Linked DNA regions of Alligator mississippiensis. The protein of the gene in region 2 binds, or shares a complex with, the protein of the main gene of each other region. Links are inferred from orthologs where the notes say so. Each region holds a gene or a part of one and is shown on either strand. Other genes may lie near its edges.

Region 1 (7,625 bases), on a different chromosome or scaffold from region 2:
AACTAATTTATATATTTTAGCGCTTACCTCCTTGTAGAGAGGCCTGGGAGTAGGGGGTTGAGGGATCATTTAGGCAGGGACAAGCCTGGGCCTGCATTTATCTACTCAAGCTATCTGCTTCTCTCCTTACACCCTTGCTTATTTTCTCACACTTCATGGCACCCTTCAAAGAATCAACTCCCCAGCTGAGAATCACTGGTTTTGACACAGACCTCCGGAAAGGCAGGATCATTTAATCTAGCGCTCCCTCTTAGCCCCCAGCCTTATTTTTCTTAAGAAAACAAAAAACCACTACTCCAAAAAAACCCTACACAACCATTAGAAGTTGTGAATTACCTTTGATAACAGGCACACCATCTCTGTCTGAGACTACAATAGCATGAAGACCTTCAACACTGTAAAAAGAGAGAAAAAGAACATGAGCATTGGGGAGAATTTCCATCCCAGCCTCCTCCCCGTCTTCCTTTCACCAGTTCTTTTTTTTCCTCAGCATTGTCCCCTTACCCATCTACCAACTCTGCTTATGTGCCTGGGGACAGGTACCAGGGTGGGGGCTTAAGCTTGCTATTGTTTTAGCAAGGACCTCATGACTAGAGGTGGAGGTAGGAGCCCTGCCCCTCTGCTCCGTAACCAGTGATGCACTTCAAGTTGGCTGGCTGGGAGCCACCAAGTGACGGCCTTCACTGGATCAGGTACATGATGTCAAAAGGCCTATATATGCCAAGACTGCCCAGGAGGAGGGGTTGTAGCCATGATGAAGACACAGAGCAGCTGAACATCTGCAGCTCTCTCATCATGTGGACACACTACAAACTGTCTGCCTCCAAAGCAACGCTCTATCAGCCTCTGGATGATACTTGAGAGTAAACCACTCGGAACCCAACTAAATATATAGCCTGTAGATCACGCACTTGTGTTACAAAAGCGACCTTGCCACTGTTTACTTAAGAGTTATTTTGTAGTATTTCTCTATCCTGCACCCTCCCCCAAGCCTCCCCTTTGTAACCAATAAAGTTCTTCACTGTATTAAGTCTGGTGGACTTGTTGGGAGAGGCATGCCTTTGTGCCCCCTTGGTCCGGCTGACTAAGGGAGGCTGCTTTTGTGCTTCAGGCTAAAGGAAGCACCCCAAGCTTTTACAGTGGGTTGAGTACCCTCAAGGACTACACGGTGTGTGTACGCAACCCTGGGCAGTGGCGGGGGTAAATGCCAAGCTAGCGGATATGCTCCAGGAAGGGGGTCAGCCAGATGTGAGGCATCCCCAGGGAGGCATTTGAAGGGTGGTAGGTGGTCAGGCGCAGTGAGGTGGGTGGCTCAGTGCAGGAGTGCCCCCTACTGGCCTGCCACAAAGTACACAAAAGCAAGTGTGAGTAAACTGCAAGGAAAAAGGATGTCACCACATTCCCACTGCTATCACTTAAAGCCTTGCTTAATCAAACAGACCTGCAAAATTCACATCGTGCTGTGTTTATGCACATCTTAGAAGTACGAAGGTAACTGTACCAAAAAAAACAAGACCCCTCATGTGGGCCTTTCAGCTTTAGAAGAGGATTACTATGGGAGATGACCCTTAGTGCAGGCTTCACTGCATTTAGAGTCACAGAGCACATCTACTTAGGGATATCAATCAATACCTTAGGCTAGCTACTTGCAGTTATGAGAAACAGAAGTTACCAAGAACCGCCGATCCTTAAAGAAACAAAACAGACGTTTCCCTTGAGTTCAGTAAGTTATCCGTTCTAGCATACTGTTTCCCTGTAGCGCACAATGAAAAGCAGGTTTGAGCTGTGTTGTGTTAAGGTTGATGGTAGTCTCATGTAGAATTCAGATAATGGATTGCATGGGGTGGCTGAGATAGGGATGATCCTGCCTCATGCAGGGGGTTGGACTAGATGGCCTCTGGAGGTCCCTTCCAGCCCTATACCTCAGCCTACTTCAAGGATGTGGGCGTCTTGTGGGTAGAGTACTACATTTTGAGCTGGCAGGGTCTATTTAAGTACTGAACTGAGTAAACACATGTGCTTTTGTGCCCAAAGACACTCTGTTAGAATGACTCCATCGTGGGGTACTGCAGCACTTTACAGAACACCCAGTGGCTCTTGAAGCATCCTGACAGCACAGACAATACAGTGAGCTCTGCTGCAGGCAGAACAGTGACTCAAATTAAATAGCAGCACACACTCTTCACAGAGCAGCACCAGGGATGATCCACCGCAGGAAATTCTGAGGAAGTCACATGACTGCCCACCATGCCCCTAGATGACACACGACACCCTGCCACACCTCCAGAGGACATGTAACACCCCAGCCTCCCTCCCCCCACAGAAGAGAACATGCTGCACCCGTCAAATTCCTGGGATGCTGTGCTGCTGCCCCCACCTGGAGGCCAGGTGGTGCCCACTCCCCCCATGTAACACCACATGCACCACCCCCCCAAAGGCCACGGGACCTCCCCCATCCACAGACCAGGAGGCCACATGATGCACGTGTGTTACCTTGGTAGCTTTTTGTACAGGAACCTTTTCAGGTCCTAGAAAGAGAGAAAAGCATGGCACAGTTCAGCTGCAGGGTCCTGGCCAGCACACGCCTGTGCCCCAAGTGTAAAACTACTTAAGAAGGGGTGTTTCCTGGTGAGGAGGGGAGGTTCCTCATCCCTTCTTCTGGGGGGGCAGCCCCCGAGAGCAAATCTGCTTCACCTCCAGGCGGGGACTCCTGGCACCAGCTCAGCCACGCGGGGAGACCTCCCCCACCACCCCTCTCCCCGGTGCAGACAGCTGGGGAGGGAGGCCGCGCCCCCCAGGCCCCTGCCCCCGCACTCACGTCGGCCATGCTGCGGCGCCTCCGCTCCGCCGTGCTGCGGCCGCTGCTTCTACAACACAAGCGCCGCGGGTCACGACCGAGCCGCGGCCCAGAACCGCCGCCGGAGCCACAGGCCAGGCCTGCCCCGGGGGTAGGAGGAGGCTTGCCCGTCGGGCCCAGCCCCCGCCAGACCCCTTCTGTGGGGAAGGGGAAGGATGGCCCCCAGCCCGCCTCACCCTGGCCACAGGCGGACGGCTCGTCCCGGGCTCGCGCAAAGCAGCCCCGACTCTACTGCTTCCTCTTCGGAAGCGAGTCACATGAGCCGCCACCTCCCTGCCCCGGAAGCGGTTGCCCGCCGCTGCCTCACTTCCGACTTCGGGGAGGACGGGGTGGGAGCTGCGCGCGCCGGGAGGAAGCTACGGGCTGCGGGAGGAGTCATAGCACGCCGGGCCGGGGGCGGCACCGCCTGGGCGTGGCTCGAAGCCGGCGCGCCGCGTCTCCACGGCAACCGCGACGGAGGGGGGCGGGGCCGGGGCCGGGGCCGGGGCCGCTGCCTGGGAAGTAGGCTGAGGCTCGCCCTGGGAAGGGAACGTGGGGCTGGGGGACCGGGCGGGCGCCCTTTGCTGTTTGCTGCTCGAAGGTCCCGTGGCAGGGTGTCAGGTCACCTGTTGTAGGGCCGAGACCGCAGAGTTGGATCACAGATAATTAGGGTTGACAAGGACCTCAGGAGGTCATCTAGTCCAACCCCCAGCTCAGAGCAGGACCAGCCCCGACTGGATCCTCCCAGCCAGGGCTTTGTCTGCCTGGGTTTCAAAAACCTCCCAGGATGGAGTCTGCAGCCTCCCTGGGTAACCTGTTCTCATGTTTTACTAGCCTCCTAGTAAGAGTTTTTCCTAATATCTAACCTAAACTTCCCTTGCTGCAGCTTGAGACTACTGCTCCTTGTTCTGTCACCTGCCACCCCTGAGAACAGTCCAGCTCCATCCTCTTTTGAACCCTCTTCAGGTAGTTAAAGGCTGCTCTCAAATGCCCCCTCAGTCAGGGCTGCAGCCAGGCCAGACCAAATGAGCAGGAGCCACCTCCATGGCCCAGTGGGCAGGACCCGGCGTGGAAGAGCAGTATGCTGCCATGACCTCCAAGGTGAGGCACCCCTTGCCCACCCAGCAGCAGGCCCAGGCCCAACTCCATGCTGCTGCACCTGTTTGGTCTCTGGTAGCACAGCGCTCCCTCCCACACTGGGTCCTGCCTGCTGTACTGCAGAGGCGGATCCTACTTGGAGCTGGTCTAGCCAGGCTGCAACCCCACACCCTGTTGTGGGCACAGAAATCCAAGGCGGACATACCCCCACTCCCCGCCACATCGCTTGTGCCTACCTCCAACCTGTTGCCTACGCCCATACACCCCCTTCCCCACACATGCACTTTGTTCCCCATACACCCACCCCCTTCCTCACACACTTGGGGGAGCTGGGGCCTGCGGGTGGGGGGCAGCAGGTCATGAGCGAGGGGCACTAGGAGGGCTGTAGGCTGGGAGTGAGGGGCAGCGGCATATTAGGGCTGCTCAGTGCCATAAAGCAGCAGGGGGCGGGCAACCACTACTGGACCCATGTTCTGATGAGTGAAGGGGGAGGGGGAGTTCTGATTTTCCATAATAAAAAAACAAAATCATATGCCAAAATATATAGGTATTTAGAATTTATTATAATGACTGAGGCGCTGGTAGGCTTTCAAATTGCTTTAGAATAGTAAATATATCAGCAAAATGTGGTGTTCAACTGATCCCTATAGAGTGTCATTTCATTTTAATTGTGTAAAAACACAGATTTTGGGGTTTATAGTCAGAGAGATTTGGATTTTTAAATAGAAAAAACCAGGATCTCTGTTCATAACCCATTCCTTTTGTCATAGTTCCTACCTACTGTATAAAATTCAGTAAAAGCTATAGGCACAGACAGTTTTTTTTGTGATCATGTATGCCACTCAACTAAACAGCATTTGTTTTAAGAAATCTAATTACTTTATTAATAAAAACAGCAATTAGGATGAAAATCAGATTATCTAATTAGAGAAGACAAGTGTGGCTGTTTAATGCCCTTTTCATTTTTCTCCCAAAATTTAAAAATAATTTTGAACTGTAAGGCAGATTTTCCAGATGAGGTTTATATTTCAGTGTCATTTATTGTTTTAAATTACAGATATTTGCAGTTATCTACTCCTTTGCAGGACTGAAATATGTAGTCATCATTATAAACAAACCTTCCCCCAACATGACAAAATTAGGTTTTAGATTTTTTTTTGTGTAACTCATTTCCATTATGAACTGCTGTGTATTCACTTTTATATGAAAGAGCTTATAGGCTATCTGGTTAGTTACATACGCTAAGCAGACATGTTGGATTATACTAAACCCCTACAGCTTCAGTTCATTGTAAAGTATAAAACTAATTCCCACCTCAGCACACAGAAGGACATTTGTGTACTGTCACTCTAGTACATAATTTTTTAATTCAAAAGTGACAGCTATAATTCCTTCTTCAGAAGCATATACAATTATAACTTTGGTATTTTTTTAACATTAGTTTAGATATGTGCACCAAATACAGGTATTCCTCACTTAATGTTGTCCTGGTTAACATTGTTTCTTTATTACCTCATTAAGCTATTAGAGAACATACTCATTTAAAGTCACATAATGTTCACTTATAACATTGTTTGGCCGCCACCTGCTAGTAGGTAACTACTGTGATGTAACTGTTAACATTGTTTCACTGAAAGTTGGATTTAGCTGTACATAATAATTATGAGCAAAATTAGGGGTGAAATACTAGCCCCACTGAAATCAATAGTAGTACATCATTGACTTCAATGGGGCCAGGATTTCACTTCATGAAATAGTTTATGGTGCATATATAAATAAATCACTGAACACAGTCCTGAGGTCTGCAAGAGGTAGAGCCCTTAATTCTGTATTCATCCCTACAAGTCTTGTTTTTTTCTCTGTCTCTTGACTACTTTTAAACTAACCACAAACTAGCATGTCATGAACACCCAATACTCTTCTTTTTCAAGTCATTTGCCAAAGGAAATATATTGGAATACACTGGAATGTTGTATTTATGAATAATACAATATTATTATAAATAAATTATTATAAATTAAAATTAAACTATAAATAATTAATTAATTATCATTATTATGTTGTTCTCAAATAAGAATCTTTGTTTCAAATAGGTGGTCATCCTTTAGGTAATTACATGCCTGTTTAGAGAAGTCTCAAGTTATAAAATAATCCATAAGGAATGGTAGTATCAAACATCTATCTAGTAGCCATAACATTTTACCCTAAAAAGGACTACTTGATTATTAAGCTGAACATTTTTTATTCTTAGCCTTTAGTTTGTGGTGCTGAGAATACCATAACATCGTTACTTCCTTTTTAAATGCAAACCACTTTTCATGAAGCAAAACTAAAATGGTTAGTCATCAGAGATGTTTTTAACAGGTAAAAAGATAAGATGGTAGCACAGTTTCACACTGAAAATAATTTTATTTTAATATAAGTCTGATATTACATTAGATATATTAGAAATCAGACAAGTATTTTTTTAAAACCTAACCTTTAAATCTTGACTGCGCTACTGAGTTAGACAAAATAATATAAGATCTTTTTTAAGATGCCAACTTCATTTCACTGCATGTCCTTTTGCAAGGCTTCCATTAAATTTATTAGAGGGGTCTTGAGCACAATTTATTTTCAGTTACTGTGGTGCTTGTTTCAAGAGTCTAGAGAACAAATATTCAAGTTCCTTCAGATTTTTAAACCAAGCAATGCTTTTAAAATATCATTGTCTCAGCTGAGCAAGAGCCAGTGCCAGCAGCAGGTTCATAAATGGATTTGAAAATGGCTTAACATTACAGATATTTCATATTTTATTCAAGCTGAGAATTGCTTTTTTACCCTGTCAGCTTTCAGATTGCAGTGCAGAATGAACAGGTATAATTTTCTTTTGAGAACAAATGTTGTAATGAGAATGTCACTCACTCACTGGAAAAAATAAGCCTTTTAAGATCAGTGACAACAGAACCCACCAAAGTTGGATGGATAATTTCTTGGTGCTAATGAAAGCCCTGTTCTGTGCAAACTTACAGAGGTACAATATTAAACAAATCACAAGTTTGAGGTATTAGCTGGATAAAAGTATGTACACCTATACATCTGTGCACATACAATAGTCACAAATCTACTGGCCCCGAGATCAGCAAACCTTGGTATTAAGAGAAAAGAAATCATGTACTGATCAGGGAAATTATACATGCAGAGAAGCTTTAAAAAAAAACACACTTCACAGAATCCTTAATATAAGGAACATTTCTTTTTAACATGCTTAGAAGAAATCAAATAATCTAGAAAAAAAAATCTATTTTAGTAGTGAGGAAGCCTGAAGTGCTCCAGAAAGATTACAAAATCATCTAAAAGATTAGGCCTGGTCCTACATACTGGGTGTATCTACACAAGATGCTAGAAGTGCAGTAGATTAATTCTACTGTGCATTACTGTGTCACGGCGAAAACCATGTTAATGTGCCATACAATTAGTTAACTGCGTATTAGCTTCATGTAAAAGATGTGTGCCAGCGTTACTACGCAGTAGCACAGATTACCATGCATTAATGCATGTGTAGGTGTACTCACTGACACTTAAACGCACAAAAAACCCAAATGTGTATGAAGACTTAAAGGCTGTTTTTTCCTCCCCATTCCAAGCTTTTCATATCTATTTCCTCCTGCCTTCTAATAGTGACAAGCAGAAACCAACATAAGTTTTGAAG
Region 2 (7,458 bases):
CGTAGCAGAGCTGTGCAGTTCCAGCCAAAGCCAGCTGAAGTTGTGCAACTGCCTTGCAGTCTAGTGGCTTCCCTGTGGCAGCAGCTGACTGCAGATGAGCCCTTGGTTACTTCCCATTTTGGAGGGGGCCACAACAGCCGGAGACTTCCGTAGGGCCCGTGCTGCCCAGGCAGGAAACAGGCCCAGCTGGTGTCATATCATGGGCCCCAGGCACCAGAGAGAAGCCCACCCTGGAGAAGGGAGAGCTCACGCCTCTCAGCTGCTTCCTCCCCATGTTTCACTGCCTGGGCCTCGTCACTTACTATAAGAGCACGGGACAGTGTTTTATGCCTATACTTGAGGGGTGGAAAAGTGCAGAACACGGACCCATGCCGATATGCACACGCATCCGCTCCCAAGGCTGTGACAAGCCACCCTGAACCCAACCCCCATCTGCTCCAGTCCGAGGGGCTCTGGGGAGGCAGCGTCTAGGCCCAGGCAGTGCCAGGAACATCCACGCAGCGGAAGGACTGAAAAGGCAGGTCCGGATCCTGTATGGGTGAAAGTTCTGCCTTTCCTGCTAGGGAAGAAGGGGCCAAGCTTGGGTTTGCACAGCTGAATAATGAGAGCTTGCAAGGGTGTGTCCTGCACCAACTACACATGAACGCCCTCAAATGTGTGTACGGGCAGGCCTAGGAGGGGAGGAATTCAGAGAGGTATCAGGGCCATCAGCTCCAGCAAAGCAGGCTCAGGCAGTCTAGGCAATCAACTAAACTCTCCGGACAAAGGGCAAATAAGTGTCTGGCCCGGTTGGTCTCCATGGTGATTCTGCACAGCTGAAGTAAGGAAATTAAGGAAGGTTTAGAGACAAATGCAGAGCGAGACTTTCCAGTAGCAAGCTTGAGCAAGCTGTTCCACCACTGACTAAGCACTGGGTTTCCAGTACCTCCTTGGGATGGCTCAACTGTCACCAGACCAGCAGAAGGGGCCAGTTTCAGTCACCAGGTGCTTGGTAAAGCCAGCTGGATCGTGACCTAGTCAAGACAAGCCCTTGCACTGGGTTTGCCTATACACCTCCACCCCGCTTCACTCCTGTTGCAACTCGGGTGTGCCCCATTCAAAGCCAGACCACATCACCAGAGCCTCAAAAACAAGAGTCCTTTCAAGCTCTCAGCAAAGGAAACACAGCTCTGATTGAGGAGCAGCCTTGCTGCCAAGTCAGTCATTAATTAACCCTAGAATATTATTACCATCTCCATCCTTCTGGCAATCCCACTATCTCCAATGTCACTGGATAGCTGTCGATTAGGTGCTATGAGACGCAATCTGGGGTCTTCCTGGGACAGATTTAAGCAGCAGCTCCTGTCTGTCCAACATGCATGCACTGACTTCACACAGGGGGCAGCTTCTTACCCCCTGAAGCCAGGTAAATACCACTGTGTGCAAGGCTTGGAGGAGATGGGGTATCCTGCATTTGGCTGGTTTCCCTACATCAGTTGCTGGCTAATCTACCAAGAACAAGGTCCAAATCTCTGCCCCACGCTTGCACCTAGAAGTCTATCTGGACCGGGATGTGCAGGCCGTCACCGAACGCAAGCAAGCACGTTCCAGAACCGCAGCGGTCCTTCCGGTGCATGTTGAACTCAAACCAACGCTCCTTACAAATATCTGATTCCCACTAACTGGTGGCCACACTTAAAACTTATTTTACATTCAGAGAGGTCCTGAGCTCATTCATTTGGGAAAAGGCCAGAAGACCAGGATAAAACATAACTCCCACAGAGCGAAGGAAGATGCTGTCTGCGGTCCTCCCATCTCACTTTTGCAGCCGCTTTGTTCCAATAGGAAGGACCAGCTGAACCAGATTTTGTCCACAGGGTTACCCATCCCACTCCCAAAACCCACCACGCACTGCCAGCCAACCCCAGGCAGCTCTGCGAGAGCCACCTGTAAGCGTGCAAAGGGAACACCGTCTCCAAGGCTCAAGCCGGTCTCTGTCGAGGCTGCCAACCAGGGGATTTAATTAGCGTCAGCTCTGCTGAAGGGTTTGGCAAAGCCGACGCCAGCTTACCGGGAATTTAAAGGAGGCCCCTAAACTTCTTGCACAGCTACGAATCTGCCGTCACACCGGCACTACTGGCAACTCGTGCTGGGTTCGAACCAGCGCGCCGACAAGGAAAGGGCCAGGGACGAGCGGCGGTGGGGCCCAGCTCCGTGCCACTGTAGGCACGAGGCCTCCGAGCCCTGGTGAACCCAAGCCGAGCACCCCGACCAGCAGCGCGGAGGGCAAGCAGTGGAAAGAGGCGGCCTGCTCCCTCATTTTCTGGCACCAGAAACGACCCAGCAGCGGAGGCTCCCCCCGCTCGCCCCGCAGCCTGTAACGCAGCGACCGGGGGAGGAAGGGACCCGACCGACCAGGTGCTGCCTTCGCTTGCCCACAGCAGCCGCAGAGGAAACCCGCCCCCTTCCGAAGGGAAAAGCCTCCGTCTCCACCAGGGTCAGGGCAGACCCACCCCATGGCCCCGGCCCCGCCCCGCCTCCTAGGTCACCCCGCAGGGTGGCAAGCCCTGACTGAGAGCCCCACCCCCCTCCGCCCACGCACCAGCCCACCACGCACGCGGGGGCACCCTCCCCCCCAAGCCCGCAGCGCTGCTCCCAACCTCGCCCCCCCCCCCCCCCCCGGGGCGAGCAGCCTCCTGCCCCGCGCCCCCTCCCCGTGCCAAGTCCCTCCCTTGAGGCCTCAAGCCCCCCCTCCCCAAGGGCCTACCCATCCCCCCCCCTTCAGGGACCCCTCTAGGCCCCTCCCATCCGAGGGTCTCCCACCCAAACCCTCCCCTCCCCCTTCAGGGACCCCTCCCCCACCTGGTCGGAGGCCTCGTTCTCGCTGCTGTAGCAGCACCCCATGGCCGGGCCGAGCCGGGCCGGGCCGGGAGGCGGGGGCGGGGGGCGCTGTCCGGCTGGGCCCGGCCGCCCCGGTCACATGAGCCCTCGCTCCAACAACAAGCGGGAGGGAGGAGATGGGGTGGGTGAAGTGGGGGGGGGGGAAAAGAGGCGGCCACTCCCCCCGGCCCCACTCCGCCGCTTCCGGGCACGTGACCCGCCTGCCGCTCCCCCGGCACGTGACCGGCGGGGAGGGGGAGAGAGAGCGAGAGAGAGAGAGAGAGAGAGAGAGAGAGACAGAGAGAGGGGGGCCAATCGGCGCGCTCCGCTGGGGGTCACGTGGCGAGGGAGGCCGGAGCCCGGCGGGGGGGGGGAACCGGCCGCGCGTCCCTTGGGTCACGTGATAGGGGGCAGGGCTATAGAAGAGCCTGGGGCTGCGTGGGGTGCTTTCAGACAGGGTGTCTGGGTTAACTGGGGCTTCAGCGCCTCCAAGGGTGGAGACTCTTTCTTCTGTTTGACTCCTAAGTGAGGGAGTTTTTCCAGCCTCAACTTTCCTTGCTGCAGCCTGTGCCCATTGCCCCTTGTCCTGCCAGCTGGCCCTGCTGAGCGCAGCCCAACTCTGTCCTCTTTGCAACCCCCCCCCACCCACCACCCTTGGGGTGCAGGTGTCTGAGAGGGAGACTTGCACTTGCTTCTCTGGATGCACCCGGGACCGTGGTGTCCTGGATTGGTTTCCCCCACCCAGAGAGTGGCAGGGGCACCTTGCGAAACCTGCTGGGGAGCGCCTGCACTACATGCAGCGGTTAAATGCAATGGTTAGCGTGGGTTTTTTTCTTTTTTTACTGTACTCCCCTGCACATGACGTGAATGAAGACAAAAAAAGGTCTTTCCTGTTGTAAGTCACTGAGTCGCAGCAGCTAAGGAGCCCAACCCGGTTCGTTCTTCCGCTCTCGGTGGATGGGGTGGCTTGTGCCACGTGGACGCTTCAGTGACTGAAACTGCTATTGCCATATTTCTTTGCCTACAACGTGCACCCCTATTCCCAGCCCCTGCTTTTTGGGGGAAATGGCGTGTGTTGTACGTGAGCCGATGCAGGGATTCCTGTGTTTAACGAAGCCAAACCCCAGCTGTGGGGGGCAGGTCTGGAGCTGGCACACCTCTGTGCTGAGGAACCTCCTGTGTCTCCAGAGCAGGAAGGGAAATTTGGGTGATGCACCTGACTGTCCCCATTCGATCAACAGGACACACAACTGCTGCACGTGGTAAATGGAGCGCAGGCAGCCTCGGGCTGAGCTTTATTTACAGTGGCCTGGAGGTCCGGCTCCTCTGCTCCTTGCTGCTCCTTTCCAAGCAGAGGGCAGGCTGGTGTGGCTGTTTCCCTCTTTCACTTCCCCTAACCCCAGCTCATCCTAGTGCTTCCTTCCTTGCCTTGTAAAAGGTCTGTTCTCCACCGAGGCTGTGAGGCTCCGAGGCAGGAGAAGCAGAGTGGATTTCAGTTTTACCCTTCTCTCCGTCCTGTGAGCCACAGAGCTTGTTCCTCTTCGGCCTCCCACATGGGCCACATCTCCTGCTTGCTATTTCCAGCCGCTAACCGGAGAGGCCCTGCCTGCTCTTGCATATTTCCCTGGTGAGAGAGAGAAAATCGAGTCCGTGATCATCCCCAGGAACCGCATCCTGGTCCTTTGGAGCTACTGGAAGTGTCTGGGCATTGTTGCTCTCTGCATGAGCTTGCATCACAGATCAATGCATCATGCACACCTACACGTGTGTATCCTGAGAGAGCACGCTCTAGTCCTGCCTTCGAGAGCTTTTAGCAGACCTCTTTGTGCGTGCCGAGGCAGTAACTGCTCTCCGTTAGCTTGCTGAATAGAGGCCTGGGATCTCCGAGCCGATGGGAAACGGGACTTGCAGCCAGTCAGTTGGATGCTTTGCAGATAGGAATTTATCACCACAGTTGCCTGAGGCAGCAGCCGTTTTCTGTACAGAGATGACCAGCACCTGACCCTTTCTCATGCACTGTCATGCCATTCTCTAGGGAGCTGAAGTTCCCCATCTTTTTCTTCTCTTCATGTCACTACACCACATTTGACCGGGTTTTTTTTGTTACGCATGCTTCTGCTCATTTTTTCTACTTTGCGGGATCTCTTACTTTACACGTGCCTTCAAGCAGCAGGCATTGCAGCATGTGTTGCATAGTCTGAGGCTCTGTGCTGCAGTCACAGGTGGGGTTGACCCAATGGCATATCCTCACTTCTTCGTTAGTTCCTTGGAGTATCCAACTCTGGTACGCAGGCGGTTGAGACATTGCCACCTTTGCCATGGTTCGTCAGCCCCCCGGTGCCAAGAACTCAGCTGCTGGAACGTCCATTTTTTTGGTTTGGGGGGGGGGGGTTCCAGCCTCATAGCAGAAGCATTCACGTTGTGACCCCTGTCAGCTAATCCCTGGTAATCCCTGCAAATTCTGCTAATGCTCCAAACCATGATTTTGATGTTCCCCATAATAAGCTGTGACTCTCATTAGCCTTGCAGAGCTGAAATACTGACAGGAGAGGGAGCTGTTTTCCATCCTGGCTCTCAAGATTGCCGGCTGGGCGCAAACTGGACAGATCACAGACCCCTGGGAGAGCAGTGGGGCTGGAAGAGACCTCACGTCTGGTCCAACCCCCTGCCTGAGGTAGCATCAGCCCTGTCCAAACCATCCCAGGCAAATTCACTGTCCAACCTCTGAGCAAAACAACAGTCACCGGACACAGCACCAGGCATCGCACCCAACCCTGCCGCAGGGAAGGCAAGAGGGACTGCGGCTGCCAACGTTTGACAGTGCAGTCTCAAGGGACACTGTCAAGGACACATGGTGCTTCTGTGCCAGAGCTAGAGCAGTTCCCAGCTACAGAAGCCTCATTCCTCTGCCCTTTGGACGCTCCTAGGTGAAGGCCAAAAAGGAAGGGGGATTTTCTGTCTGGCAGTAGCTTGCAGAAATGCCTGCTCAAGGGTTGTGGTGGGAAGCCCCTAGGAACCAAAGTGTGTCTGTCTTAACTGGGGAGATTTTGTCCCTGTTCCAAACCAGGGTCTCTTCCCTAGATGCCTGTTTGGGCACCGCTGCACTGAGGCAGTTACCTCCAGCCCCAGGAACCCTGTCTCGGGGCAGGCCTGTCTAAACAGCCCTGGACAAGGCAGTGAAAATGCCCTGCAGAGCACTCCCCTGGACTAGGGAGCCCCTTGTTCCCCGGACCATCAGGAGCTGTAGCTAGAAGGCTACATCATTTCCCAGCCCAGTCAAGAACTCATAGAAAATTCAGGTTGGAAGGGACCTCAGGAGGTCACATCTAGTCCAACCCCCTGTCAAGCTGGGTCTTCAAAACCTCCAAGGATGGAGACTCTACCACCGCTCTGGGGAGCCTGTTCCAGTGCTTTAGTACCCTCCCCATGAGAACATTTTCCTTAATATCCAACCTCAACTTCCCTTGCTGCAGCCTGAGCCCGTTGCTCCTTGTCCTGTCATGTGCCCCCACTGAGAATAGTGCAGCTCCATCCTCTTTGCAACCCCCTGCAGGGAGTTGGAGGCTGCTATTCAATCCCCCTCGGTCTTCTCTCAGTCATGGTGGGGGAATCAGCCAAGATCCCAGGAAGGTCCCATGCGCCTGCAATTCCAGCCCTGCCATGACCACACTGAGAGCAGCGTGTAATTGAAGCTTTTGGCTCAAGTCACTGGCTAATTACACGACTGTCCTGCTCTGATTCATGCCTGGAGAGTCCTGTAACTTTCCCTTTCTTCCCCAAAGCAATTTCCTCTGAAGTCCAGTGAGTACCAGGTCACGAGGGCAAGGATAAAACATAGCAATGCTTCTTTCACCTGCTGAAGGGCCGGAGGCTGAATGCATGGGTCTGGACCTCTTTGCAGACCCTGGCTCTGGTTAAATGATGGGTAAAATTAATCTCTTTAGTGTATTGACCGCCTTTCTGCTGCTTGATGCTTGTCCACCTCCCAATGCTGCTGTGAAACAGGGTTGGCATGAGAGACTTGGGTGATAGACAACATGAAATTCAACACAGACGAACCAAATAGCCACATGCAGGGCAGTGACCGCTGGAAAGGATGCACTGTGTCCAGCCTGGGGGGCGACGTTTTAAGAAGGACGTAGAGAAGCTGGAGGGGATCCAGAGGCGAGCAATGATGATGCTAAAGGGGCTGCAGTGCCGCTATATAAAAAAAGAATGAGGATGAGGTGTGGTTTGGAGGACAGGAGACGGAGCAGGGGTCAGAGGCTGCTGGAAAGCAAAAGAGACTGGCAGTGCCCCCAGCTGAACAGGGCAGGGTCTGAGGCAATGGGTTTGTTGAGAGCAGGGCTCAGGAAGGACTTCCCACCCATTGGGGCCACAGGGCACTGAGACAAACTGCCTGGGGACGGGGGAATCTCCTCCCCTGGGGCTCCAAGCAGGGGCTGGGCTGGTGCAGGAGCACTGAGGATGCACCTAGGCAGGGGCTATACTGAAATAGCAGCGGGGACTCAGGGCTAGGACTGAGGTGACTGGCAGGTGGGGGCGGGATTGGGCAAGCAGGGGAGGCTACAGGGGAGAGATGCATTTGATTAGAGGGTA

Evidence for each region.
Region 1: LAMTOR1 (region 2) and LAMTOR3 share a complex: the UniProt entries of both Homo sapiens proteins name them as parts of the ragulator complex. The link is inferred for Alligator mississippiensis from reciprocal best matches to the Homo sapiens genes LAMTOR1 and LAMTOR3.

The regions. Positions count from the first base shown.
Region 1 is NC_081825.1:161,212,111-161,219,735, forward strand, and holds the start of LAMTOR3 (ragulator complex protein LAMTOR3), read right to left. Parts: upstream 3,173-7,625; 5' UTR 3,034-3,172; intron 3,028-3,033; exon of another isoform or gene 2,868-3,027; 5' UTR 2,828-2,867; coding exon of another isoform or gene 2,819-2,827; intron 2,529-2,818; coding exon of another isoform or gene 2,494-2,528; intron 2,329-2,493; exon of another isoform or gene 1,754-2,328; 5' UTR 443-1,753; coding exon 337-442; intron 1-336. UniProt on the Homo sapiens protein: As part of the Ragulator complex it is involved in amino acid sensing and activation of mTORC1, a signaling complex promoting cell growth in response to growth factors, energy levels, and amino acids.
Region 2 is NC_081824.1:477,691,759-477,699,216, forward strand, and holds the start of LAMTOR1 (ragulator complex protein LAMTOR1), read right to left. Parts: upstream 3,041-7,458; 5' UTR 2,884-3,040; coding exon 2,842-2,883; intron 1-2,841. UniProt on the Homo sapiens protein: Key component of the Ragulator complex, a multiprotein complex involved in amino acid sensing and activation of mTORC1, a signaling complex promoting cell growth in response to growth factors, energy levels, and amino acids.